Oryzias latipes: one gene and its partners. The protein of the gene in region 1 interacts with the protein of each later gene in a pairwise test. Links are inferred from orthologs where the notes say so. Each region holds a gene or a part of one and is shown on either strand. Other genes may lie near its edges. The genes, in order: sat1, lnx1, fam69b, hoxb9, kcna4, casp7 and dmrt3.

Region 1 (4,396 bases):
AATTATCACTGGTATATTTTGAAGTGAAAGGTCCCTGGTTCAAGTCCCGGCTGGGGGACCAGAACCAGAACATCAAAGTTGGGCCTTTCTGTGTGGAGTTTGCATGTTCTCCCCGTGCACGCGTGGGTTTTCTCCGGAGACTTTAGCTTCCTGCCGACGTCCAAAATCCTGCTTCATGGGTTCCTCTAAATAGTCCCTAGGCGTGTGTGTGAGTCTGCATGGGTGTGTGATTGTGGCAGCCTGTTGATTGTGGGGGGTTATCGGCATTGTTTGTCGTGTCATTTTGTTTTTAAATTTGATTATATTTTATGCAAAGCACTTTCAGTGACATGAGTTGGAAAAGTGCTATATAAATAAAGGTTGAATTGATTGGATACTGTCCAAAAACATGCTTCATAGGTTAATGTGTGTCTCTGGATTGCCCCTAGGTGTGTGAGTGAGTGAGTGCATGGCCCTGAAACAGACTGGAACTTGTTCAGGGTGTCTCCTGCCTTTAGCCCAACAGTAGCTGGGCTAACTCCAGCTGCACTGTGACCACAAAAGGGATTCAGCTGGTTCTGAAAATTGAGGCACGATTCTTATCCATTACAATGCATCAAAGTATATAACACAATACAGAAACGGCAGGTGGGATACATATGTTACGCAGAAACACAAGGCCAGATATTATCTCTCCAGCTTGACCTGAATCTGCGGCTGGAAATACCTGTATGTCCACCAGAGCAGGATTGTTTACTAGCAAAAATAAAACTTTATATGAATTTTTGTATATTTAAATGGAAAGATATGTAAGTTCCAAACAGTGTACTTTTATTTAACAAGAACTGGGTAAATTAATAAACAATTGAATAACTACATTTTAGAAACAAATCAACTTGAAAATAAGACATCTACTAAAACTCATATATTTTTAAAATGTATAACTTATTTTTAAATATCTACCCAAGTGCATTTGGTCTGTGGTGTGTGGTAATGGCTTGCTGAAGTTTTCTGATAGTACTTTTAGTGTGCTGTTGTTTTCACCACAGTGGTTCACTGCTGGAAGATCTCAGTAGTTTCAACATAAACTTAAAGAACTGAGTCAAACAGACACAATAACTGAGAGGAAATAAAATCAGTTGTATTCTTCCATACATTGTTTTGGCTTGTCGGGCAGCTCTTTACCTGCAGGCCTCTGTTGTTTTCTGACCTAAAAAGACAGTCAGCCCAGCCCCTCCATCACAGACTTGGGAGGTGGAAAATTCCACTGATGTTGATTACAGGAGTCACTGCTGGTTTTGTTCTGACTTTAAACTTTTTCTTGTTGCTGTTTGCTTGATATATGTCCTATTCTATTTATGGATTCTAGAGTAAGTGATTCTTCAAAGAAAATTACTTTAACAGTCTCTTTTCCAGAGCACACATATGTAATGTCGCTGCGTATCAGCCTTTCTGCGGCCGCTGATTGGATGAAAACTGACCGCAGGGTGCCGCTGATTCGCCACAGATGAGGGGGCTGCTGGAACTGGCCAATAGCGTTCGAGCGCGAGCCGGGTGTATAAATAGTGTTGAAACAAAGGGAAGGAGTTAAACGGCAGTGACCCAGCCGAGGGTGAGCGCAGCTGAATGATCTTGTCCCGACAGACGCGTCCGGACCAGAGGCTGACTGTGGGGATAAAGCCACTCTGACGCGAATGAAGAAACTTCTCATCTTCCAGTTCACATACAGAGGACTTTTGACTAAAGGAAAAAAAGGGAAAAGAAGAAAATGGAGTATAAATTACGAAAAGCAGAGCCCAAGGACGTGCCAGACATATTACGACTCGTGAAGGTACGTAGATATAACGTCAACTACTATTAGAAAACAAAACAAAAAAAACCGGTCTGAACTGGACGCGCTTGTTCCGGTTAACGAGCCCTTTCTGCTGACGTCACGTTTCCCGCTTTGGAAACGTGTCGTCGACGGATAAAAAATACGGGAACTTTTTAGGAGAAGTGTGTCTGACAGCTGATGGTGAGACGGGAGGAAGGTCGGCAGGATGTCCGGCCGGCAGCTCAGCCCGGCGGCCTTTGTTTTTCAGCCAGACGGCTGGTGACCGAGTTAACTTCCGCCTCTCCATATATGGCTCTTCCGCCCGGCAGCTTAGCTTCTTATGGAGGCTGACCTCGGAGAAGTGTTATTATATGGTTGTGTAACGGCCGACCTGACACAGATACACACGTTTGACACAGTAACGCAGCTGAGGGGATGTCAGAATTTACAAACACAAGAAAAAAAAAACAACTAAAAACCGGAACAAAGAAGGAAATAAACGGCGCTTTTTGACACAACTTCATAAAAGCGGAAGTTGAAAACTTATCTGCCTAACCCGTTTAAAACTCTGCTGCAGACATAAAATACAGTACAAAGCAGCTGTCTTTAATAATAATCTCCAGCAGAAAACAAACTTTTATTTAGTGTTATTTGTCATTAGACGACGTCTTTGTCATCTGTGGAACATCCTGAGTCATCACTTTTTTTGGCTTCTGTCATGAACTTTTCTCTGGAAAAGTCTGCTCTCAGAATGTTTTTATCAACGCTCTGCTCTCATTCCAGGAGCTTGCTAAATACGAGGAGATGGAGCACCAGGTGGCGCTGACGGAGAAAGGTGAGTGTCCGGCGGCGTCCGCCCGCACGCCGACAGACCGTGTTTGATCATCGCCTGCTTCTGTGCAGATCTCCTGGAGGATGGATTTGGTGAAACGCCGTTTTACCACTGCATCATCGCTGAAATCCAAGGAGAGAGCAGCAGTGAAGGTAGGCGTGTGCCGCTCTGCTCAGCTTCCTGTTTGTTGGCAGGAAGAAGAGCCGCCGCCGGCTGCAGTTTGGGTTTAGTCAGACGTGTCGGCTCACGTGTGCTCTGGCTGGAGGCTCAGAGCAGCTGCAGGTCTGTGAAGGTTTCCTCCCTGCAGAATGGCCGGTGACCGCTGTCCCCCCCCTTGTCCCCATACAGATCCTAAGGTGGGGGGGTTTGCCATGTACTACTTCACCTACGACCCCTGGGTGGGCAAGCAGCTCTACCTGGAGGAGTTCTACGTGATGAACGAGTACAGAGGTGAGAGCAGCTCCTCCTGTCCTCCGGTGGGTCCCGAGCATCCCTGAACTCCTGTTGTCTCTTCCAGGTCTGGGGATGGGCTCGGAGATCCTGCGGCACCTCAGTGACGTGAGTTCGATTCCTGCTGCAGCAGCAACTGTTGATCGTTAACAAAACCTACAGTGTTTTTTAATCGATACCTTTTAGAATAAAAATATCACTTCTTGTAACATTCAAAACAAAATATATAAACATTGTTTTTTCTTATGAAATCCTGTAATGAAAAGACTCAGAACGTCTGTCTGCTCCGTTCCTCCTGTTGACTGCATGATGCTTCTGTGTCTGACTCATGAGCTGAGGCCTCCTCCTCCTCCTCATGTGACCAGCTGCTCTAACGTCTCCTTCTCTTGCTCCTGGTCCAGCTGGCGATGAAGACGCGCTGCACCGGCATGATGTTCGTGGTGGCGGAAAACAACGCCCCGTCCATGCAGTTCTACAAACGCCGCGGCGCGGAGGACCTGTCGCAGGAGGAGGGCTGGAGGCTCTTCAGGTTTGACAAGGACAGCCTCCTGAAGATGGCCACTCCAGCTGAAGAATGACAGGAGGTCCAGCAGGGCGGCGCAGGAGCAGGAGGAGACCCAGGAGTTCCAGCTCCACTCCCCTCTGCGCAGATGAAGCATGCAGATGTTTCGCTGTAATGGTTCTGGTGCAACACCTCTCTCTGATTTCTGATCTGAACTTTCCCACCAATAAAGAAATTCCTGATCTCAGAAGCTCCAGCCTTTCTGCTGTTTGACAGATCCGCTCATGTTCATGCAGCTCTGGACGTCCTCAAACGTGGACCTGCTCATCCGGGTTGAAGATGAGAACCTGAGCTCAGAAGAAGAGCTTTGAGAGGCAAACGGGGTCAGACTTGACCTGAAGGCTGAGTTTTAACATGCAGGCCCGTTAGAGGATTGTGTTAAGAAAATGTATTTCCATACTCATTATTTTCCATGTATTTATTTAAAGTCTTGGAGTTTGTTAGCTTAAATCCTATTATCATACCAAATCATAGTTTGTAGGCATGCTGGCTGGATGGTTTTTATTATTTTTAGTCTGGTGTTAACATGGTCGTTAGTCTTTCAGTTGATGGAACTGTAGACACTATATTCTTTGTTTTTCTTCAATGACCCTGGCATGCACTCGCACTTGTCTGCAGCCGCTCAGCTTCATAACAGCACTCAGCTCCCTGGGAGGTGAAGGCCGCAGACATGCAGCCGTGAGGAAAGAAAGGCGGAACCTCCAAAACGCTTGAATGTAACCGTTGTCTGTCTGCTCCTTGCTTGCAAGTAAAGCTTGAA
Region 2 (2,580 bases), on another chromosome or scaffold:
AACAGTTCCTGAGAAGATCTGATGGACTAAAATATAATCTTTGAAAATCAAAACAATGTGATTTCCTGGATTTTTTTTTACATTCTTTCTCTGCCAAATGAAGTGTTTCTAGGATGAACATTACAGACAAGAATCAGCTTTTTATGCTTCAAAATTTGTGACTGACAAATACTTTTTTGCCTCCCTGTTTGGGTAGTTTAAAAAAAAGTTTGATATTTGATAAAACTCCCAAAGGAGCAAAGTCCTTAAACAAAACTGAGAACCAAAATGCCTCACATTATCAGTCAAAGAGGAGCCAAAAGATTATTGCAGCCGAAGGGAGCTTGAAAGAGTCAGAGGCTAAATGTCCTTGGCTAAAGCTTCAATGAAAGTGAGGCTTTGCTCAGCGGCAAGCCCACAACAGAATGTAAGACATTTCATTGGTTCAGGTAAAGTCCAAAGTTTAACTTAAGCAGATGCAAAAGAGATGTCCTTTTGTTCCTTTAAGAATATTCCCATGCCAGAACCCCAAGGGAAGGTGTTTTAAAAACTGTGGAGGGGGGGATTTGCTAAAAGTATAATAAATACATACATTTGCCATCCATTGTTCAGATTTGTTTTTCATTTTTGCTCAGTCTGGGGGTAATGAATTACTTGTGAAATTAAATGTTTGGTACGTCAACATTTTATTGACCTTATTTTCAGGACCTGACAAAGAAAAATCTAGATACCAAAAAAACTTAAAAAACAAAAAGAAACAAGTGTTAAGTGTCAAACATTTATTTATGCTCTCCCCCTTCTCCCATGCAGACATCTGTACTACTGCAAAGACATCGTTCTGCGGAGGAACACGTCGGGTAGCCTGGGCTTCAGCATTGTGGGGGGTCAGGAAGAAATGAACTGCAATCAATCCTTTTTTATCCGTTCCATTGTTGAAGGAACACCTGCTTACAACGACGGGCGAATAAGGTATTGAGGTGACCCCCATCCAAAAATGTTTTTGGCATGAGTGAAACGTTTAGGGTTTCACTCTGCCTTGTTTTTCTGCAGATGCGGGGACATCCTACTGGAGGTGAATGGGAAGAGCACCTGGGGCCTGACCCACACAGCCTTGGTTCGCCTCCTGAAGGAGCTTCGGGGCAGGATCACTCTGACCATTGTCTCCTGGCCGGGCAGCCTGCTGTAACGGCACCCCAGCCTCCCTGCACTGCTTCTGTGATAATGACCAAGGGATGTGGAGGCAGAGCTTGCATCGGCAGACTGTCCTTAGACTTCTTGGAGAGAGAAAAAGGACAGAGGAAGGCAGACACTGATTTCTCTTCAGGGATTTGACCAGAATCTGGGAGGGTGATCAAAACAAAACTGAACTGTGAGCAAAAGTTTAAGTTGCCCCTCCAGGAATGCTGAAATGGGAGGATCCAAGCCTGCCACTTTTCTGAATGGGATGTTGCGAGATGTTATTTACTTACAGAACATTGTCATTGTCTGGAATAACATCCAGTGAGTGGGCTGGGAGGAGAAGAGGAGACAACTTGTTGCCAACTCCAATAGATATATTAGGATATGTGTTAAGTTGGACTCACATTTCTTTATGTACTGTAAAAATGCTGGTTGTTGAAAACAGTAACAGTCCAATCACTTGTAATATGTTTTTTTTGGTTTATTGTATGGCCTTCAAACGTAGGCTTTATTCTGTTTGTACTGACAGTGGTTCTCATCTGTTAAACTAAAGACTCGTTGCCAAGTACTAGTCTGTGAGGTTTTTCTGTTTTCTCAGAAGCTATTCTTAATAAAGAAAACAATTGGCAAAGCAGGTCTATGACAACATAAAAGGATCAATGTGTTCTTAACATGTTGAAGTGACATTTAATTAGGTGACATTGTGGAGGCCTTACAAAGTTTCTTACTTTTAAGAAAGAAAAAGCTATAACTGTTCCTGTGCATCACTGGATGGTCTATCTCCTGTGGTTCTGTTTGTCACGCTTCGGCCTGTGTAGTTTATCTGATGGTACATGACCATAAAAGACTAATAAAGCTGTTCCAAAACCTGTTGTGTGGTTTAAACTTTTCACTTGTATCTTCACAAGTACAACACAAGTACAAAAGACATGAAGCAAAGCAACAAAATCTTTCTGCAAAACTCATGAGGTTTTCCTCTAAAATCAACTTTAGTCTTCAAAAATGTTCAAAAGATCAAATAATTGTTTGCATTGTAAAATGACATCAAAGTCATTCTTTCCTGTTAAATCAGGAACATTTCATTGTTCTTCCTGGTCAGCACAGTCTGTTGTGGAGCTGTTTTTTTACGTCTTGTTTTTTCTTCTTTTTGCATCTTTTACCATGGTCCTATCTTCAAATTTCCTGCTGCAGCTTCCCTGAGTGCTGCTGATGAGATAAATAGAAAAAAAGACCAATTGATTAATAGTTCTACTGTGTGTCTTTTAGAGTGTGTGTTTAGATGGACCTGTGTGAAACTCTGTCAGGCTTCCAGCTTCTGTCTTTCCTTCTGTTTTCTCCCATGATGTCTTTGAAGCTGCAGCATCTGTGGCTCTCATCCTTGGAGCTCCTGGCCTTTGTTTGCTCCTTCACTCTGTAGAGGAC
Region 3 (4,236 bases), on another chromosome or scaffold:
TTCAAGGCTTTACTTAGAGGTAAACTAGACCATTGATGTTGCTTTGCGTTCGGTTCAGGTGAGCTTTCACACACACCAGGTCGGGTGTGGACCAAACAGCTCAGTGTGAAAGTGCCCTTAGACTTAATAATAATAATGGATTGGATTTCTCTGCGCTTTTCCAGACGCTCAAAGCGCTTACAGTGTGTCCATTATTCAGTCATTCATACTTGGTGATGGTAACTACTGTTGTAGCCACTGCTGCCCTGGGGCAGACTGACAGAGGCGTGGCTGCCAGTTCGCGCCTACGGCCCCTCTGACCATCACCGGGGCATTCATACACATTCACACACCAGTGGAGCTGCACTGGAGGCAGGGTGGGTGAAGGGTCTTGCCCAAGGACACAACGACAGTTGGCTGGGGGGAGTGGGGATCGAACCGCCGATCCTTCGATCATCTGACGACCTGCTCTCCCACAGCAACAACAGCTTCCACTCTTCCTGAATTCCCTTTTCAAGCTACATTCCCTCTGCAACGCAAGTTCAAGCAACCGCTTTCCATGAGAAGTGGGTGTGAATACTTCCCTTTGCACAGCTTCAACATTTTACACCGAGCATCTTCCAACTGTAGGTGGCAGACGCTTGTAGACGGTAAAGGAAGCAGAGACGAAGAACTGCCCAGTGTGAACACCAACGTTTAAGAACCCGCGTTCTTGACCAGTGTGAACGTAGCTTTACATTTGTTTTATGTTTCTGTGGCAATCGGTGCTCCATCTACATTTAAGTACCAGGTCACTTATGCTAGGTTAGAGCTGCTCCAGCTGTAAAAAAATAAAATAAATAAAAAGTTTAAGGTGGAAACCTTCCGGGTTTAGTTCTTTCACACTAAACAAACACAGGTTTTGAAACATTTTATAAAAATTGTTATAACAGTCCTGCTAAAATCATGCTCTTTTGTGTGACTGTTAGTATCTTTCGGTACATGAGCAGATGTGATTAATGAGGACTCATCAATTTATTTTAACTAGGTGTTAATTGTAATGATTGCAGTAATTATAGTTTAGCTTCTCCAGGTCTTTCCTCTGTGGATGAAAGATTCAGAGCAGTAACAAAGCGACACTCCGGACTTAAAATAAACCGGCACTTCCTGTTTCAAACGACCAGCACTCACATCAACACCGATTTTTCGGATTTTCCTATTCAAGCTCCGTGAGACTGCAAAAGCTTAGAGCTGGACTCACAATGACCATGTGGCAAACGTGGCCCCGGCAGAGCTCGGCGTAGGACGCATACTGCATGTAGACGATCCAGCTGAAGATCAGAACGCCCAGCCAGGCCAGGAGGAGGTACTTCACCTTAATGGCTGGAAGACGCCCCTGTGGAAAAAAATACATGGCAGAAGCAAAAAAAAAACAACCCAAAGTCATGACAAGATGATGCACAGAAACATGTTCATGCATTTTGTTTATTACCTTGGGTGTCATTTACCATTTAGCAGAGCCTTTAATCCAAAGAAAATTACAAATTGAGAGCAAATTGGGGTTAAATCTCTTGTCCAAAAGCAAAATTACAACCAAGACTTGATTGACAGTTTAGCTCAGGGCCGTCCAAACCTTTTCCAAAGAGGGTCAGATTTGGTGTGTGAGGGCAAACATTTTTTTAACCCTTATAATAACATTAAATGCAAATGAACTGATTCATCTAAATTTTACTGCAATTTATTTATATAGATATAAATACATTTCACCCAAATGACAGTGATTTTCATATTAGATGACCGGAAATGACAGAAAAAGTCTGTTTGGACAAAAAAAAAACTTTTGCCAACATTTAATTTGGGTTTGTATGTAACATATTAACAATAAAATGTTCATTGCAAACTTCTAAATATAAATCATGTGAAGCAAAGAAAACAAAGAGATGATGGGGAGTAGGGGCGGGCCTGCTCTGCATCAAGTCCCGCCCACAATTAATTAACTCCATCCAGCAGAAACTATGTCCTACAAATTGGTTGGATTGTAGGCATTTAATTACACATAATCATGATTAAAAGAACACTGGGAACACTTTAAAGATCGATCAAAATATGAATATGCAATGTTTTTGACAAGAATTTCCACATCTAACTAAAAAGAGAGGCTGGTTATTTATCTATCATGCTTTTCCTGTAACTCCCAGCTTTAATTGAATTACTTTAAATAAATTTAAAAAAAACTGGCTTTTATTATGTTGAAACAAACATTCCAGTATATTTTTTCTTCTTTTTCTATGTGACACCTTCCAAGCATTATAGGAAAGATTTCGAATATTAACATTTCTCAGAGAAACGGAATTTTAATGACTATGTGTGAGGGTAGAAAGGCAAAATATGCGGTTTGGGTTTCATTTTGGGGAGAAATGTCATGCAGTGACGCATGTGCTCAGACACCATCAAACTCAGATGTGTTCAAGTCGTCACGCGGGCTCGTCATTTCCACCATCACCGAGCCAATTATTGAGAGAAATGGAGGGTGTACCTGCAAGCCTTTGTGGAGCGGACAGAAGAGCATCAGATGCAGCAGTCTGCGCACAGCCCTGGGCATGGTGAGCGACAGAGAGGCGCAGCGGAGCGACAAGAGAAGATCCCCGTCACGTCACATCATCACGGCGGCCCACGCCGTCGCCGCGGACACTCGAAATCCTTCACCGGGGCGTCCTTGAACGCCAGCTCCATGTGGAATCAGACTGCGCATGTACCACCCGCGTGCACCTGCGATACTGACAGATTTAGCCCGAGAATGTGAAAAGCGGCGTCGTCCTTGTGAGCCATGAAAACGGATGCACGGATGCTCACTCAGCCTCCCCGCTGGACCGCCCATAAAGGGGAGGAGCTTAGTTTTTTTTGGGGGGGGGGGGGGGGCACAAAATCTCAGCAGTTTCCCCGTAAACTAAAAGATTATTTTAATTTTTGTGTATATTAACGGGTAGATGTAGCCCCGCCCATTTCTTCATTATTGTTCTTTAAGAATTTCACAGTTTTAAGTTTTTGTTCTTTATTCCTAAATAGGAATGAACGTAATTTAATGCATTCTTCTCTCAGTTATAGAGAACAATTTAATTTCTCAATTTTTTTTGAATAACTGCAAAAATAAAATTGTATAATAAATAAACTGTCAATGGGGACTTTTTCTTGTTTTTTAAGACACTGATGCGTACAATCATTTTTAAAGTAACCCCTTGCAGCAAGGAGACTAATAAATCCATTTTATATTCTTTGCAAAAAATAAAAGCATCACAGGAAGGTCAAATGTTATAGCTGAGCTTAGCCAGCGATTGCATGCAACTTAGATAAATTGCATAATTATTTACATTTTCAGTCACTCTATTCTAAAAAAAAAAAGTAAGTAAAACATAAATGATTTTTTCTTTTTATTTTTCTTGCTTTCAAGTGTTAAACATTTGTATGACCATAACAAAAAAAGACACAAAATGAATTTGACAAAAGGAAAAAACCCTACAAACTAACATAATGCCTAAAAATGGGCCACAGTTGGCAATTAAAACTAAGCAGAAAGCAAACTTTAAACACACAAAAATATATAAATACATATTATAGAAAATGTTGTTAGACTTCTGGAAGGCATCATCTCTACAACCGTAAAGCACGGTAGTGGGTGCATCATGTGTAGCCCATTGGTGGTCCATGGAATATTTTAATGGTTGAAAGGTCCAATCAAACCAGTAAGTCAGCAAAAATCCTCTATGCTCGGATCTGAAAAGCAACCACAGTATATTTTAGTCCCTTGTACTTCAAATGTTTACGTTTACATTTTATAATCCTGCCATCTTTTGTTTTACTTTTGTGAACCAAACTTCCTGTTGTGTATATATTTTGTTTTTTGTAAAAGGAAGAAATGATGGCTTTGGTTGAATCAAAAACAAATATAAAGCATGTGGCTTTAAGGATTAAATACCAAACAAACTTGAACATGTGGACAAAACTCTTTTTGACTTTAAAAGTATCTGAAATTTAAATATGTATATGTAATCTTATTCAAAACTGACAAATGTCAAAACATGTGGAAGTGTATTTCTTTAAAAAAAAAAAAAAAAGTGTTTTTTTAATTTAATTATTTATGCTTTTAATTTAAGAAGGCCCCCGGTTCAAGTCCCGGCTGGGGGACATGAAAAACTACATCAATGGGGGACCTTTCTGTGTGGAGTTTGCATGTTCTCCCCATGTATGCGTGGGTTTTCTCCGGGATCTTCGGCTTCCTCC
Region 4 (4,134 bases), on another chromosome or scaffold:
CACAGCGTTTGTGATTCTTTTTCCCACACTGACCCCCTGGCAGGACCCGACCGCCTGTTGATAAACTGACACTCCAGAATTATGTTTGCTGCATTCTCCGACTGCGTCTCAAATTGCTGCCATCGGTGGAGAACCAAAGGACACAATGTTCCTACAGCTCAAGGCCCGAGGTGTCCTGAGCTCCAGCAGGAGCAAAGCATCTCAACACGAGATGGAGCAGAGAGAGGTGTTGAGATCTTCTTCCATTCTGTCTCACAGCTCATTCATACAGTTTTAGTTATGAACTTTCTAGATTTATTTCTTCAGCATTGCTGCTAAAGGATGAGCTGCTATTGCAGTCATGAGGGAGGAAATCACAAACACATCACAGCCAGACGGACTTTGACTGATGGAAATAGATATTTATAATATTTTATTGCCTTTATGGTGTGTTTGTCTGGGTTTTTGTTTTCTCCTGTGGACATTATGTTTTTAATGTTAATTTTGAGTGTTGTTTTGAGTTAAGATCACATAAAAAAGCATAAAAGGGCACTGGTTTGTCTGGACTCTTACAAGATTTAATAAATGACTTCAAACTGTTCTATTGATTTCTGCTGCATTCAATCAGCAGGTCTGTAATATGTTCGCCCTAAAGCGGTTTTAGGAGAGTGAAATGAAAAGAAAAAAAAAACTTTAAAGCGCCACAGCCCTCAGCTGCGTGAGCTACAGGATTTCTGATCAGACCTGCACGGGCGTCTGTTGCATTCGGCATCTGTTTGGCACAAAATGGCCGTCTGCTGGAGATTAGAAACAGCCCGAGTTGCACTTTGGAAAGAGTTTGTTTTTGCCAGATTGAGCAGAAGGAAAAGCGGGAAGAAGCAGCAGAGTTAAAGAAAAAAAGCAGCGAGAAACTGAAGCGGTGACGCATGCGCAAATTAGGAAATTATTCTGAAAGATGTGAACACATTTTTTAGAATCACTTTTAAAATTAAAATTATTTATATACACAACCTATTTTTTAAATAAATCACTAATGTTTTGAATACGAGTGTGCTTCGAGATAATAACACCGGACTAGTTTTAAAAATATAGTGATAAAATAATAATTTTCTTTATTCAATTCCTAAAAAGTTATATCATCAATCAAGCAGGGTTGAAAAACAGAAAGCTGATTATTTATCAAGAAAGATTTTTTTAATTCAGAGCGTCTCCCATGTTTCCCAGACAGGACTCACGCGCACGCCTGCATCAGGCTGAGCTCGGATTTTTGTTTATCAACTGCTTGCAGTTTTTAGAAGCTCAGAAGGAGACTCGTGTTTAATGCTGCGAGGAAAACGCGCGCGCCCACAGGGACAAAAAAATCAAATGCCAAAATAAACTGCAGAAGAAAGCATGAGCGAGATAAAGAAGCAGCGTGCAGCACAACAGTTACATGGTTCGGGTGTCGATACAGAGACTCTGTGATCGCTTAGAGTCCCGCACTCAGGTTTGCGTGTCGAGGCAGCGCGGGGCCTGCAGGTTCACGCGGGAGGTTAATGAGTCAGGGGACCCGAGCTCCCTCGGAGAGCAGCCTCTGCTGCACCGTTCTCTCCTCCAAAAATGCCACTTCTGCGTTCGAACCCCACAGAGAATAAAGACAAACTGAAGACCGGTTCAGAACTCACGCATGCACCTTACTATGTCAGCTTTCCATCGGAACCCGCACGCGCAGCTCGGGTCTCCATGTTTCACCAGCTTTTGGTTGATAATTGTCCCGTTAAATATAAATATCGAACTCTCTGCTGGACTCTCGCCAAAGAAATCAGTCATCTGGAGACGCACATCCCACTCCGTCCTAAGTCAGTGCAACAGCAACATCCCATAATATGAAGGCATAAAATGGCCTTTTTCTGTAATGTACTTCTTCGCTTTCAGACACAGAAAAATCACCACAAACTCGCTTTAACGTGAGCTCGTGAGCGCGTGAGCCGCGGCTGCTGCGCTCAGCTCTCCTTTGTTCCTGTTTTATGGCTGCATTAAACGCGTTTACAATCTCCATCCGCGCGCTCGCGCTCCCACGCGTTTTTCCCACCTTGATAACTTACTTTGATCCGGGCCGTCTTTGTCCTCGCTGCCTTCACATCCCTCCTTACTCTCCTCGAACCCCCGGCCCGGGACGGCCGCCGGGTGGAGGCTCAGTTCGCGCGCCGCCGTGGACACGGGGTCCAGGATGTACGTGGTGGTCTCGTGCGGGTGCTGCACGCTCACTTTGAGCGGGATGTCCCCGCCTTGGTGTCCCAGCTGGGGCTCCAGCTTCACCTGCCCGGTTTGGCTCTGGCCCGAAACAGAGTCCGGGTCGCGAGGAGCGGCGTCCAGCCATGAGCGGAGATAGCGCGTGTCCGCCGCGGGAACATGCTGCGCCGGGAGGTACGGGTGGTAGACGGCGGGAAGAGCGCCGGCGCCGTGGTGCGGGCTGAACGGGCTCCACGACGGTGAGAAGACCGGGGGTTTGGGCTGGAAGCTGCAGGACGGGTACGAGTCAGAATGAGGATGCTCCGCATGTGCAGCGGCCACGGGCTGCCTGACGCCCGCGGCCACTGAAGAGTTTGGAGAGGAGTACTGGACGGCGGAGAAGCGGGCCGGACCGGAGAGTTCATCACTGTCGTGACTGATGATGGAGTCCACGTAATAGTTGCTGAGGGTCCCAGAAATGGACATTCTCGGACATTATCCGCGTGCAGCCGCGAGTTTGTTAAAGCAGAAGAAGAGGGACATTATGAGATTTACGTCACTCTTTTCTTCTTTTCTTCTGCTTTGCTGCCTTCCCCCCTCTCTGACTCTCGCTCTCTCACTCTCTCACTCTCTAACGCTCTCACCCCCCTCGTCACCCCCCTCCTCCCCAAAGACTCTGTGACCACAAACAAAATGTTCCAGTTTGCAGCCGCGCGGATTTGTCCATTTCACGCAAACTCATTCACGTTGCCTTTGAGTCTGACCCCACCCCCATCCCCTGCACCCACGTGTGTGTGAACCTGAATGTTGAGGAGGTTCTTGTTTACCTGAATAAAGCCCTAAGAAGTTCTTCAGACTACAGTCCACCTGCAACAAACGCGGGAAACGCTCATGGCCGCAGAGCGGTTCTGCTGCTTCTGATCTGCAGCTCCAACAGTCTATCTGCAGAGTGCGCGCGGTGACTCCTGAAGTGCTTGCTCATGTTTTACTTTTCTTTTTTGGGAAGTTTCTCAGCCGCTTACTTTAACAGGCGGATTAACAATCATCTTCTGTTAACGAGCGCCATTAACTTAACGCGGCTCCCGCGCGCCCTCAGCCCCTTTCTTCGACTTCATCCACTTTTTGGGGGTCCATTTAATACCACAATAAAATCCCACACAGGGGCGGCTGCTTGAGTTTTATAGGCCTTATATATGACTCATGGTGGTGCGGACGGAGCAGCGGCTGCCTCTCTTTCCGGCCGCTGGAGGAACGCAGGATCAGCGCTCTGCTCCTCCGCGCTGGATCCCGATCAAACTATAGGTTTACACTCTTAATGTGGACCCGAAAAGCATCATGTACCGGAGGCGCCCGGAGTCTGACGTCACCGCGGCTGTAAGTCTCTCTGTTTGTTTGTAATTATGACAGACATGCGCTTTTGGACTCTTTGGAGGCCATAAATCCGGTCTGCACGTTGCATATGCAGCTACAGTTATTTACGACGTGTAAATATGAACTAGATTGCTCATGGGGGCTAACGGTGTTATTTACGAGGATCAGGGAAAGATGAAGCGAAGCTTTCAGATCTGCTGGTAAAAAAAAAACTGGATTCAGGGATGAAAAAGAGAAAGAAAGGCATTCAGATGGCATTCAGTCAAGAGGCAGCAGCGAACCAAGATCCAAACTGACGGTTCTTTCAGGACCAGGACCATGGAGCCAAAGCACGAGACACTTTCTTTCAGAAAAAAAGAAAAAAAAACCCGCTTTCAAATCAAAAACAAACTCACAAATAGCAATCCAATGTCCTCAGTGCATTAAAAAAACAAATATTATATATTATATCATATATTATACCCTAGAATAGAATAGAATAGAATAGAATAGAATAGAATAGAATAGAATAGAATAGAATAGAATAGAATAGAATCGCGGGCGTGCATATTGTTCTTTGGGACTTGCCCGATG
Region 5 (3,720 bases), on another chromosome or scaffold:
CTTTTCCAAAATGAGCATCTTGCCTACTTGCATATTTGAAACCAGGTGGTAAATTTCTATTTATTCTTTTGTTTTTGTTGAACTTTTGAGGTAAAGCTCAACACGTCTGGTATTATTTTTGCAGTAGCTTCCCAAAACTAACCTTCCTTCATTTCTTTGAGAGATGCAGTAAAGTTTTAGAGTACGATCGCATGAAATAACCCTCCTTTATCTCATTCAGAATCCATTATGTTGTAAATTTTTCCTTGTTTAAAGCTTCTCTTATTTTACTGTTCAAGGATGAAGAGCGCTAAGAGTTTTGACGTTTTAACTGAGTACAGGATATATATTTGACCACAAAGCCACAAACTTGTCATGCAGCCTTTGCTCATGTGAACTCTTCTTTGGCTGAAGCTCAAAGAGAAACGTTCCTGCTTCAGCAGATGGTTGTAAAAACATCCTACTTGTGCCAAATTCTGCAAACACACACACACATAGTCTCTCCCCTCTTTTCTCACACACAAAGTAAGTTATCTAGTAAAGTTAATAAGAAGCTAAAGCAAGAATTCTGTTGGAAGACAACCCTGATATGATTCTTTTTCCTCTTTTCTCTTTCCTTTTATTTTGGAGGTTTAAAATACTTTCATCAAGCAAAAACAAAATCTCATTAAATTACAGTGTTTGTGTTACTTTAGACAGAAATGCAGCTGGGATTCTGCAAAACCTCTTATCAACAGCCAAGAGTATAAAAACGGTGTCAGTGATTACTCTGAGTGATGTTTTTTTTTTTTTTTTTTTTTTTAAATGAAGATAAAAAATGGGGTTCAGATTGTGTATTAATGAGCTTCAGAATTATGAGGTGTTGCTTTTTTTTTTTACAAAAGTTTAAGTACAATTCCCCTGAAGTTGACCTGATGTCATCATGGATGAAATAATTGCCCCCGTTATTAATGAAAAACGCTGTGATATTGTTGCAAATGAGGTCTGAGGGTAGCTGTAAAGTTGCACAGGAGAAACATTAACTGATGTTGGCAGGAATGTGCGTCATAGTCGTCCAGCGTTCATATCGTGTTTTACACACGGTTACGCACGCGCATCCATGCATCTTTTTCTTCTTTTTCTTTTTTTTTTGGGGGGGGGGGGGGGGTCTAAGAGATTACCAAGGTAGTGGAGATACATCCAAGGGCGAGAAAATAACAAATGCATTGCATGGATTTTCTTCAAGTGGTTCCTGTTTTTAGAGGCTTTGTTTGTGTGTTTTGTGTCAATTAAAAAGGAGTAAAAGTCACATACCTTGGAAGACATCCTTATTCCGCTGGTTTTCTGAGCCATGTACGCTTGTGCATTGACTTGAGAAAAAAAATTGCGCGTAAACTCTCCTTGAAGAATTTTCCACAACAGTCGTTTTTGCTATAATCTTCCATCTTGTAAAGGGATACTGTCACTTTGAGGTGGTTTGAATGAAAGTGGAGGAAAATGTAAAAAAAAAAAAGGTGGGGAGGGGTTTGTCTCAAGGCTCCAAAAATGTCCAGATGACCTGCAACGAGTCATTTCTCCAGCCATAAATGATGATGAATGTGCTTAACTCTTGTCATGGTGATGATTTACTTTAGTTTAGGATAGGAAGGGGATTTTTTTTTTAAACTACGTATCTCAATGTAGCCCTGACTCATTTAAAATAAAGCCTCTTTAGAAAGATATATAACAATTATGGATATATATTCATATTTTAAGTGTTGGAACAGAGATAAAGGTAGTTCTTCTGTCTTATTTTCTTCTTCAATGGAGTACAGTTTGGTAGGGTTTAAACGCTGTTGTTTTCTATGTTACTTTGCTTTTTTAGAAGTTTCTCTAACATTTTTCCGTAAAGTTATTCCTAAAATGTTGCCAGCATGGCCTACAGTTTTCTGTCTCTACAGGAACTTGCCCCAAACCCAGCGCAGATACTAATTTAGTGCAAACAAATGATAACTTTATTGCATAACAGCAAAATGATCGTCCCTACCCCTCGGATGTGACAAAAAAACTCATAAAGTGCGAATGCATAGCCTGTCTCTTCTGTGGAACTGGACTTAGATGTTAGAGTTGGAAGCCCGCAGCTCAGATGATACAATATGGTTCTGAAGTTGGTGTTGAGGAAAAAAGAAAAAGAATGGAGCATTTTCCTGCCACTGTGAAAGGGGTGGATGAGTGCGTAAGAGGGGTTGAATGGAGCGTAAAAGTTGAGGGGTAGTCACCTGATGCTGGGCAAAAAATGTCTTTTCAGAAAAAATCACACGTCTGTCTGAATAGATTTAGAGTTAGTGCTGTTTTTTCTGCTTATGTCTGTGCCGTTTCCTTTACTGGGGCTCTTGTCCAACCCGCATAGCGATTCCGTCAGCCCTTCCTCCATCTCCATGTACTCCGCTTTATCCCCCAGCGAGGAGCCCGAGGGCGAGCCTTTGAATTTCCTTAGAAAGTCGGGGAAATACGGACATCCTGGAGGCATGCTCTCCACCACAGGTGTCTGGTCCTCGTTGTTGTCGGTCTCCCTGTGGTAGAAGTAATTGAAGTTGGACACTATGACAGGCACCGGGAGCGCGATGGTTAACACACCCGCAATCGCGCAGAGGGAGCCCACTATCTTCCCACCTACGGTGATGGGCTTCATGTCTCCGTAGCCCACCGTCGTCATGGTGACCACGGCCCACCAGAACGCGTCGGGGATGCTCGTGAACTGAGAGGTGGGCTCGTCCGCCTCGGCGAAGTACACCGCGCTGGAGAAAAGAATGACACCTATAACTAGGAAGAAGATGAGAAGGGCCAGCTCCCTCATACTGGCGCGCAGGGTGTGACCCAGGATCTGCAGCCCCTTGGAGTGCCTGGACAGTTTGAAGATGCGAAACACCCGGACGAGGCGAATTATTCTCAGAATAGCGAAACTCATCGCCTGCTGGCCGTTGCCCTGGTGCTGCGCCAGATCCGTGCCTAGGGTGATGAAGTAAGGCAAAATGGAGACAATATCTATGGAGTTCATGATGTTTTTAAAGAAAGCGGTCTTGCTGGGACTCGCAAAGAAGCGAACTATAAACTCAAAGGAGAACCAGATGATGCAAACGGTTTCCACGATGAAAAAGGGGTCGTTGAAGGGCGTAAATCCGTGGTCGGGCTCAGAGGAGTTGTCCCGCGGCTGCAGATACTCCTTCTCATCCCTGAACTCTGGCAGCGTCTCCAGGCAGAAAATGACTATGGAGATGACGATGACCAGCACGGACACCACGGCGATCCCCCGGGCAGGGCTGGAGCTCTCCGGGTACTCGAACAGCAGCCAGATCTGACGCTTGAACTCGTCCTCCGGCAGAGGCTTCTCCTCCTCCTTCACGAAGCCCTCATCCTCCCGAAACTTCAGGATCGCCTCCTCTCCGAGTTCGTAGAACTTCACCTCCTCGGAGAAGATGTCAAACGGGACGTTGGCGGGTCTTTTTAGTCTCCCCCCTGACTGGTAATAGTAAAGAATGGCGTCAAAACTCGGCCGGTTCCGGTCGAAGAAGTACTCGTTCCTGAGCGGGTCGAAGTATCGGATGCGCTTGTCGGGATCTCCCAACAGCGTGTCCGGGAACTGAGAGAGAGTCTTAAGCTGAGTTTCAAACTTCAGACCCGACACGTTGATGACGACCCTCTCGCAGCAGCCGCACTCACTGTAGGCGTTCTCGTACCCGGACTGGGGCCGCCTGTCCGTGATCGACACGGTCTCCTCATCCT
Region 6 (4,262 bases), on another chromosome or scaffold:
AGTGAGACGAAAGCCTCTAGCCGTAGGCTTTCTCACAGACCTGCCATCTTTCCATTCTCTGCAAGACTCATCCAGATCACTGAGCCAATGGTGGCCCGTTAGAGGCTCTAAAAAATCCTGGCTTGTTCCAGAAGAGCCCAGTCATCAGGACACTCGAGCATCAGTACAATACACAACAATTGACTGTAACACTCTCATGGACGGTCCAGCCATATTGCAATAAACATGTGATGCATAAGCCCCCTCCCCTCCAGCCACCTGTGCTAAACAATAGCAAGCTAAGAGCACCAGCGTTGTTATGCGGTGACGGAAAGTAGTCAAGAAGATCAGGAGGCGGCGCTTTCTATCTTACCTGGGTTGATTATCAAGCGCTACTCCGCTCTGCATCGGAAATGCCTTCGCTTTGGATTTTTTTTTTTTTCTATGCCACGGAAAAACAAAACAAAGCGCAGGATTCTCTTCAGCGGGTAGTTCAACTGAAGCTTGTAAGGTTAGGAGGGTGGCATCCTCTCCGCACTTGACGAAGACCTGACTGAGCGAGCGGGAGGCTGCTGAGGACAGGGGCGACGCGCTGCGAGGCCCCTGAGTCAGCAGCCTCACCACCACACCAGTGCTTTCTAAAGGCCTATTCACACTGCCTCACTCACTGCTGGGGTCAGCTGGGACAAAATCTGCAGCTAAAAAAAGTCAAAGAATTCTCTGATAAGCCAATCATCTGGACTTGAATTCACTTTTAGATCCTCTTCTAAAGTCATGCCATACCACAGCATCAAAAACGGCTCAATCATGATACCTTAAGTTATATATTTGTCCACATTTTGGGTCAGTATAAATTAAGATAATGTTTTTTCTGGCGAAAAAAACACAGAATAAAGCTTTAAAATGATATTTAAAAGGGTAAAAGTTGATGACCAAAGATTCCAATATGACTGCAAACACTGTGGACACAATGTTGTTTAGGGCAGAATTGTATACCTTAATTTACAGGTTTAAACAACAAAAAATGCAGGGAATAAGGATTTTACATTTGTTTCCTTGTTTTCATTTTAGTTGTTCAGTTAAAGATCTGTTTTCTGCTCTTTGCCGTAAAACTGTTTTCACCTTTTCTAATTACAAACCTGCAGTTCAAATCTTTGTTCTTTCAGTCTATAATTTTAGTTTACTATTTAAAATTAAAACTGTTTCTATGAAATCACCTTCCAGTCTTTATTTGAAACCTCAAAAACAAGTTTTAAGGACAGATCTACACTTTTCAACACAACCATTTTGGTGTATAGTTTCATAATACACGCATTTATTTTAGTCTTCTTGAAGGTCCCATAGTTTTTATTTTTTTTTATTTTAGGTGTCCAGGTTGATAAATATTCCAATAAAAAGATCCAGAGTGCCACCTTGTGAGGGAGAATGTATCCAACAGGCAGCCAAGAAATTTATACCTACAAGTAAGATTCAAATTTAGCTCTGAGAAATTACTAAAATGTATACACATAATTAAATAAAATAAAAAAATTAATTAAGACTTAGATAATACTTTATTTACCTCCATCAGGAGAAATTTAGCTGTCCGGTACCTACATATATATCAATATAAATATAGATATATAGAGAAATATTTAAAATGCTTCCTAAAATATATTATAAAAATGCCTAAAATCCATTATTATAAGGTCTAATTATTTAAATCAATACAGTAACATACATATACATACATACATACATACATACATACATACATACATACATACATACATACATACATACATACATACATACATATATATATATTATTATTTTCTTGAGCTAACTGACTTTAAAATCATTCCCAAATTCTTTTCAATACTTCAGAGAGCGTAAAAAACTTAGGATTTTTATTTATTTATTTTATTATTCACGCATGCTTAATTCGTCCACAAAGACTTAACGAAAGGATCCAATTAGATTTCTTTACACTAAATGTACGAAATAAAACATTAGTGTGTTCCTTTTATTAACTATGAGATTCTGATCTTTATGGGGATGAAGGAGGCATGTCTAACCAGCAAGGTGAGCTCCAGGAAAAGAAAAGAAACTTACAACGAAAAGTACAAAAGTCATTTTGATTAGAGGAAGAATGCACTTTATATTGCAGGTGGCTTGTTAAGTAATACGTACCTAACTAAATAAATATCTCTAAAGATAGATCAAAATAAATGTATAGAGATTTTGCCTGTTTTAGTTTTCTTTAAAACGAAAACATGAAATGTATAGGCGGAAGTTACCTCCCAAACAGAAGAAATCTCCCTGAGCGGTCAGGTTTGGCGTCTGTCGTGTCCCCCATTGTCAGACTATCATCTCCATCTCCAGCTGTAAGGTCACGTGACTCAGCATGATCCTCTGCCATCTGCAGTAAACAAAGTATTTCATAAATCACTGACATCGAGGAGTAACTGTTGGGAATCCAAGTACAGGCTCTTATATTCTGGACTACCTACTACTTCCGTGTTCATCTTAAAAGACAATTGAAAAACAGACAACTATGAACAAAAACTGGTTATAGTATAATAGATGTTTACATATTTTTCAATAAAGTTTTTTTTTATTGATCTTTTTGCTGTTTTAGCGCGTTTGAGCGTTAGCTAGCTAAATAACTAAATTATAACTGCTACATTTGACCGCTTTTTATCCAACCTGAATGAGAAAAAATACAGAATTATCTTTACTTACGTTTGGTCTTTCGTGTGTCAACTTATTTGTTGCTCTACTCTTGAATTTAGGAGTTTTTCCTCCTCCAAAGGTTCGCCAAAAGCAGTTTCTTGAGCCTGGCAAAAGTGAAACTTGTTAAAGAATGTCTCGTGCGTAACTACGTCACCGGTCAACGTGACTCCGGTCAAAAAAAAAAAAAACTTCATTTTTTTTAATCTATTGGTACATTTACATTAAATTATTGGTAAATAAAATAATTATAAATATGAAACTACGGTCAGTTCTGTTTTTACAGATTCGTGCAATTTTGCTTCTTTGCAACTGTGTTTTTCTCGATAAAGTGAATAAATAAAATCAAAATATTGCATCACTGCCTTCATTATTTGTTTTCTTTAAGTCAATTTAGTTTTAACGCTTTTACAGTTTTTGTGCATATGGCTTTGTTTTTTGATGGGTTCTTTGAGATGCAACTTTGTATAAAAAGTGCTTTATCAATAAAGTTGATTCAATCTCATTCAAAGCCAAAACATTTATATTTTCCTTTAATTTAACATTTAACTTTTTTTATTGATTTAGATTTCATAATCATATTTTTAAAATGTATAAGTGATATTTTAATAAAAAAATATGTATATAAAAAATAATCATCAGAGCTCAGACTAATCAGTGTTAGAATTATTTAACCTAAGTCAAAGAGTTGGAATAAATTGTAATTTAGAGGTTTCCTTTTTTATATTAAGAAAAAGTAGTTTGATCCCTTTAAAATAGTTTTTTTAATGAAACCACGTCCTTGTGAAAAGTAATTATAATTTTGCAGAATTGTGAATAAAGAAGAGCTAAAAGTCTACCAACAGAGGATCGTATTATTTATTTATAGAGCACTTAAAAAAATTAAATAAGGATTAAGAAAAATAGGCTGAAACATAAAAAAGGATAAAAACAAAACGAAGTTTATTGTTTATCATCAGTTTGTGTCATTTATTTATTCATAGAAAACTGGCAGAGCAGTATAAGACTATTGGTTCCTTAAATGATTAAACTCGTGCAAAATAGGCACTTGTGTCATAATGTAAATGCCTGTGAACTAATTGGCCATCTGGGGTTCATTACACAAACACAGTGACATGTGAACGCTCCAGCTCTGTGACTGGAGATGGACAGCTAAACCCAGCCAGTCATGAAAAGCATGGGGGCATTGAGGTGGGGGCCTGATCCGTCATGGGACACGGTGTCAAGTAAGAGGCAGTGTCAGACTTCCAGCCTCATTGCTAAGTTTACCACAGCCAGAGAAACACTAAATCAAGGGAGCCACTTTCTTCTACCAAACCCAAACTTTAAATCTGGACATACATTGGTTGTAATTTCTCACCTTTGCTGAATTGTATTTTTGAAGAAGAACACACGATGCAGTCCTGTGCCAGGTGTGGGTTTGTGGTCTACCCAGCAGAGAAGATCAACTGCATTGATCAGGTAACAAAACAACATTTTCAAATATAATTTAACAGAGGTAGGGCTTGCTTATTCGCTTTACCAGTATGAGAAACCCTCTGTTGTTTTGGCGTTTAGTTTAGGTAGACTAC
Region 7 (4,383 bases), on another chromosome or scaffold:
CCGAACGGGGCCCCGTAGTGCGCGGCGGGGCGCAGCTGGTACTGCTGCTGCAGGGCCACGGGGCCCCACAGGGCCACGTCGCTGTGCACGAACGGGCTCTGGCCGCGCGTGAGCGAGCTGCGCAGCATCAGCGGGTAGCGCGTGGGCTGCGGGAACGAGGAGTGCTGCAGCGGGAGCGCGCCGGAACCGGACTCGGAAGTGAAGCGGAGGGAGTCCGGGACCCGGAACGCGGAGCCCACTGACCATTTGGCGGGGGAAGGGTGGTACGAGCCCAGCGCGTGCTCGAACAGGTGTCCGTTCGACGGCAGCACCAGCGCGTCTGCGTGCGTGTCTGCGTGCGTGTGTGCGCCCCCGTCAGAGCTCCGGCTGGACAGCAGGACCTCGATGGCCCCTACCAGGTCCCCCCCGCAGCCCCGCAGGATCAGCTCCAGAACCGGCGGCTTGTGGGCGGGAAAGATCTTCTTCAGGACCTCCAGGGGGGGGCGGTTCGCGCGGAGGCTGAAGGGCAGACTGATGGAGCCCCCCAGGCCCTCGATCAGTACGCTCGGTTCCGGGCTGGGGGGGCGCTTCTGCGGGCTGCCGGCTTTGGCCTCCTTCTCGCCGGTCCTGGGGAGGCTGCAGCGGCCGTCCTCCGGGAGCGAGGGGGGGTCTGACGGCTCCGGTGTGTAGCAGGAGTTCGGTTTGGAGCCTTCGGGGGAGCTGGCGGGGTCCTGCTCCTTCTCACTGCACGAGCTGCCCCCGGTCTCCGCTCCTGACAGCTCCTCCGTGCCGTCCTCTGCCGGGTCTGCATGGGGGGAGAACCGGTATCAGACACCAGAACTCAGAACCACTGATCCAGAACCGCATGCAGACATCATCTTCTTCAAACGGCAAATAAATCTGCAGAAATATTTTATTTTCTTCAATACAGATTTTAAAGAGAAAAAGATTTTTTAAAGGTTCCTGCAGAGAAATTTAGTTTTTCTTTTATGCAGAAAAGAAAAAGAAAATAAAGTTTTTTTCTCAATTTTGTATCCAGATGATTAAATATATATATACTAATTTTAAATATTGCTGATGCACGTTAAAAAAAACAAATAAAGCAAAATATCAGGTTTTCGTTTGAACATTAGAATTTAAGAAACAGGAATATACGAGGAAAAAAAAGAATGAAAGTCTTTTTTAAGCCTCAAACTCCATTCATTTTTGTCCCTTTCTGGGGTCACGGGGCTGCTGGAGCCTATCCCGGCCCTTCGTGGGTAAAGGCATGGGACACCCTGGACAGGTCGCCAGTCTGTCGCTGGGCCACGGTCACACACACACACACACACACACACACACACACACACACACACACACACACACACACACACACACCTCGGGGCAATGCAGAGTAACCAATGGACCTATGAAGCATGTTGAGAACACACATGCACGGGGAGAACATGCAAACTCCACACAGAAAGGTCCCCCCACCGTTCAGGTCCCCCAGCCGGGACTTGAACCAGGGGCCTTCTGGCTGTGAGGCAAGAGGCTAACCACTGCCACCCTGAGCCTCAAACTCTGGTTTTTAATTTAAAGTATTGAAAATACTTTCTCAAAAACATTTGGGTATTAAAGTCTAATCGTGTTAATAAAAGTTATCTTAAATAATAAAGTCAGTTTATTTTGTTCAAATGGATCTTAAAGCACAAATTGCGTTAATTACTTATTGTTTGTGCCAGTTAAAAAAATTAAAAATCTTCAAATATGAAAATTCACGCGCTGCAGTTTTTCTGAAAAAACCCTGAAATTAAAGAAGTTTATCTTTTAATTTGTCTTCAAATCTATATAGTTTTGGTCAATAAATGAAGTTTTCCATGAAACACGTCACTAAAATGTTCTATTATCCAGTTGGGTTCCACTTTAAGTGACGTTTTAGAGCCAAGGCAACGTTTTGGGGCCCCATTTGGTCTCATTTAACCTGAGTTAAAATAACCCGGGAAAAAAGTCGGTCCCTATGAACTTGGGTTATTTTTAACTGTAGAGTTTATTTTTTTATTCAGATGATTTTATGATTGACGCGGACAAACAAACAGGTGAGTTTTTCTCAAAGAAGCAGAGCCTCACCTGAGCACGCCTGCGCTCCCGCGCGCGGCTCCGCGCCGCTCCACCGGAGCTCCTCGGTCCTCGGCGGCGCCCCGGGGCTCTCCTCCGCGGCCGCGCTCAGGCCGATGGCGGGCAGGGCCCTGAGGGCCTCCGGGATGAGGCTCTCCAGACTCTCGTTGGCCTGCTGGCGCCGCAGCGCCACCTGCGCCGCCATCACGCGCTGCCGCTCGATGATCAGGATGCACTTCTCGCACGTGCAGTCTTTGAAGCGGCAGTACCGTTTGTGTCCCTTCAGCCACGAGAGCACGCCGTGGTTCCGGCACCGCGCGCACTTGGGGGTCCGCTGCAGCGGGGCGCGCGGCTGCGACACCGGGGCCCCCATGTAGAGGTACGGAGAGCCGTAGCCGTTCATGGCGGGGCGCAGAGTTGGAGGCGCGCGGCGCGGTGGAGGTGTTAATCTGCGCGGGGGGAGTGTCCGCCTGTCCCGCGTTTCACGGCGCAGATAAGCATCACGCAGACACGCTCCTGTGGGCGCGAGTAACCAACTGCTGTCACGCGCGTCAGAAAACACTAGAGACGAAACGCGCGCAAAGGTCCCCCGTGGTCACGTGACGCTCATATTCAAGGGGTGGTTGGGGGTGGGGTGTAATAGTGGGCGATGAAACATAACCCGGGACGAGGTGGGTTATTTCTGACCGTAAAAACGGTTTATCCAAGCAAATAATAGACCCACGGAGGAAAAGCGAGCGCGCGCTACCCGGAGAGTCCGTCTGCGGGGCGATTAAGCTTTTAATTGGGGGGGGGGGGGGGGTGTTCAAGGTGAGCACCGGCTCTGCAGTCTGAACCCGTCCGACACCGATGTGGGAGTGAAAGTCTGAGCGGCCCATAAACTTATCCATCAGCGCAGCCGCACGCGCATTGGCGCGCGAGCGCATCGCCAAAGCAACTTCAAGGTTTTAGATATTTTATATTCATTTTTTTCATATCAAAATATCTATTTTTTATTTTGACATTTCTTCTTTTAAATTTCCACACAGAAAAAGAAAAGAACTGAGATTCAAAGCTTCTTTTTCTATGAATGAAGCAGAAACGACACTGAAAACCCAAACGTGATGGTCTCCTCCGTTCATTTGCTCTTATTGCAGCCACATTAATGCCTCCTTTTTAAAAAAAAAATCATTTACAGCATTTGGAAAAACGCACGAAGCCAAATTAGTGTTTGATGCTGCAGAAAACAGAAAGACGGTTTTCATAAATCTGTCATTTAAAAAATTCTTTTGAAATGTTTTGCAAAATTACAGAATTCAAATATTTGTGTTCTTGACGTTTATTTTAGTTTGTGTTCTATAAATTGTTGATTTCTGTGTGAAATAAATGTTCATTTCATTTGCTCATTTTTGGATTTAAAGCTCAGCTTGAATCTTGAACGGGTTCAGGAGCCGAAGCCGCCCGGCACCGCGGTCCTTCCGCGCTCTGGGCCCATCGTCCCTCATCCCTCCTTCAGAAAGACGTTCCTGCTGCTCCAGAGAACCGCAGAGATCCAAGATCAGGGAGGAAACCGAGCAGCAGAGGCCTCAGTGGAGCCAGCTCAGGTCAGAGGTCAAGGCCCAACGGTCAAAGAGGAACAAGAGGAACATCTGGACTGATGTTCTAATGAGACACAAGAGGAACGTCATGGAAGGAGAGCTTCCCAGAACATTTCTAATACTGTCATGGTGAGGCACGGAGGGGGGAGTGTGATGGTGAGGGGGGGGGGGGGGGGGGGTAGCTGGAGCCGTCAATGAGGTCCGACTTTCTCACTGTTTGACATTTTCACTTCCTGCACGGCGCCACCGTCAGTCACAGTGAGGCATCAACGCTTCATGTGTTTTAAATGAAAATGGTCACATGCTTAGAAGCCCCGCCCCCTTTGCTACTGACTCATTTCCTGCCATCGGGGGGGGGGGGGGGGGGGGGGTCTGACCTCCGCCAGAGCACACTATTAGCTGCTGATTGGGGGCTGAGCTCCTGTCAGAAATTGATTTAGCCCTCCCTGGGGAGGCGGCACGCTGAGCAAAAACATTTTATTTTGGAAAATTTAGGAAATTTATCTTGAAGTTTATTTAAGATCAAGAATTGTTGTTTGACACAAACATAATTTGAATATTACGTCATTTTTTTTTTAGATTTTGGCAGACAATTGGTGTCAAAACGGCCCAAGAGACACATTTATGCAAATCACCATCATTCATTTCATAAACATGTTTTTATTTTCTCTCTAATATAATTACATTTCATTAAGCTTTTCCCACCAATAAACTGTTAACATGAGTGTTG

What was found.
Region 2: the proteins of sat1 (region 1) and lnx1 interact in binary tests that used the Homo sapiens proteins (3 or more experiments, as listed by UniProt). The link is inferred for Oryzias latipes from reciprocal best matches to the Homo sapiens genes SAT1 and LNX1.
Region 3: the proteins of sat1 (region 1) and fam69b interact in binary tests that used the Homo sapiens proteins (3 or more experiments, as listed by UniProt). The two-hybrid records come from large-scale screens. The link is inferred for Oryzias latipes from reciprocal best matches to the Homo sapiens genes SAT1 and DIPK1B.
Region 4: the proteins of sat1 (region 1) and hoxb9 interact in binary tests that used the Homo sapiens proteins (3 or more experiments, as listed by UniProt). The two-hybrid records come from large-scale screens. The link is inferred for Oryzias latipes from reciprocal best matches to the Homo sapiens genes SAT1 and HOXB9.
Region 5: the proteins of sat1 (region 1) and kcna4 interact in binary tests that used the Homo sapiens proteins (3 or more experiments, as listed by UniProt). The link is inferred for Oryzias latipes from reciprocal best matches to the Homo sapiens genes SAT1 and KCNA4.
Region 6: the proteins of sat1 (region 1) and casp7 interact in binary tests that used the Homo sapiens proteins (3 or more experiments, as listed by UniProt). The two-hybrid records come from large-scale screens. The link is inferred for Oryzias latipes from reciprocal best matches to the Homo sapiens genes SAT1 and CASP7.
Region 7: the proteins of sat1 (region 1) and dmrt3 interact in binary tests that used the Homo sapiens proteins (3 or more experiments, as listed by UniProt). The two-hybrid records come from large-scale screens. The link is inferred for Oryzias latipes from reciprocal best matches to the Homo sapiens genes SAT1 and DMRT3.

Annotation. Positions count from the first base shown.
Region 1 is NC_019878.2:2,835,612-2,840,007, forward strand, and holds the start of sat1 (diamine acetyltransferase 1), read left to right. Parts: upstream 1-1,540; 5' UTR 1,541-1,747; coding exon 1,748-1,810; intron 1,811-2,575; coding exon 2,576-2,627; intron 2,628-2,695; coding exon 2,696-2,776; intron 2,777-2,972; coding exon 2,973-3,074; intron 3,075-3,141; coding exon 3,142-3,182; intron 3,183-3,475; coding exon 3,476-3,652; 3' UTR 3,653-4,396. UniProt on the Homo sapiens protein: Enzyme which catalyzes the acetylation of polyamines. Substrate specificity: norspermidine = spermidine >> spermine > N(1)-acetylspermine. This highly regulated enzyme allows a fine attenuation of the intracellular concentration of polyamines.
Region 2 is NC_019862.2:756,984-759,563, forward strand, and holds the end of lnx1 (E3 ubiquitin-protein ligase LNX), read left to right. Parts: intron 1-789; coding exon 790-948; intron 949-1,029; coding exon 1,030-1,165; 3' UTR 1,166-2,027; downstream 2,028-2,580. Other genes in the region: fip1l1 (pre-mRNA 3'-end-processing factor FIP1), read right to left, coding at 2,283-2,364, 2,444-2,569.
Region 3 is NC_019870.2:6,335,133-6,339,368, reverse strand, and holds the start of fam69b (protein FAM69B), read right to left. Parts: upstream 2,845-4,236; 5' UTR 2,561-2,844; coding exon 2,495-2,560; intron 1,355-2,494; coding exon 1,220-1,354; intron 1-1,219.
Region 4 is NC_019866.2:24,161,770-24,165,903, reverse strand, and holds the start of hoxb9 (homeobox protein Hox-B9), read right to left. Parts: upstream 2,846-4,134; 5' UTR 2,677-2,845; coding exon 2,064-2,676; intron 1-2,063. UniProt on the Homo sapiens protein: Sequence-specific transcription factor which is part of a developmental regulatory system that provides cells with specific positional identities on the anterior-posterior axis.
Region 5 is NC_019861.2:9,905,618-9,909,337, reverse strand, and holds the end of kcna4 (potassium voltage-gated channel subfamily A member 4), read right to left. Parts: coding exon 2,252-3,720; 3' UTR 602-2,251; downstream 1-601. UniProt on the Homo sapiens protein: Voltage-gated potassium channel that mediates transmembrane potassium transport in excitable membranes. Forms tetrameric potassium-selective channels through which potassium ions pass in accordance with their electrochemical gradient.
Region 6 is NC_019877.2:5,359,561-5,363,822, reverse strand, and holds the start of casp7 (caspase-7), read right to left. Parts: upstream 2,849-4,262; 5' UTR 2,704-2,848; intron 2,381-2,703; coding exon 2,259-2,380; intron 624-2,258; exon of another isoform or gene 388-623; coding exon of another isoform or gene 353-387; intron 1-352. Other genes in the region: nrap (nebulin-related-anchoring protein), read left to right, coding at 4,087-4,152. UniProt on the Homo sapiens protein: Thiol protease involved in different programmed cell death processes, such as apoptosis, pyroptosis or granzyme-mediated programmed cell death, by proteolytically cleaving target proteins.
Region 7 is NC_019867.2:1,173,605-1,177,987, forward strand, and holds the start of dmrt3 (doublesex- and mab-3-related transcription factor 3), read right to left. Parts: upstream 2,848-4,383; 5' UTR 2,480-2,847; coding exon 2,089-2,479; intron 785-2,088; coding exon 1-784. UniProt on the Homo sapiens protein: Probable transcription factor that plays a role in configuring the spinal circuits controlling stride in vertebrates.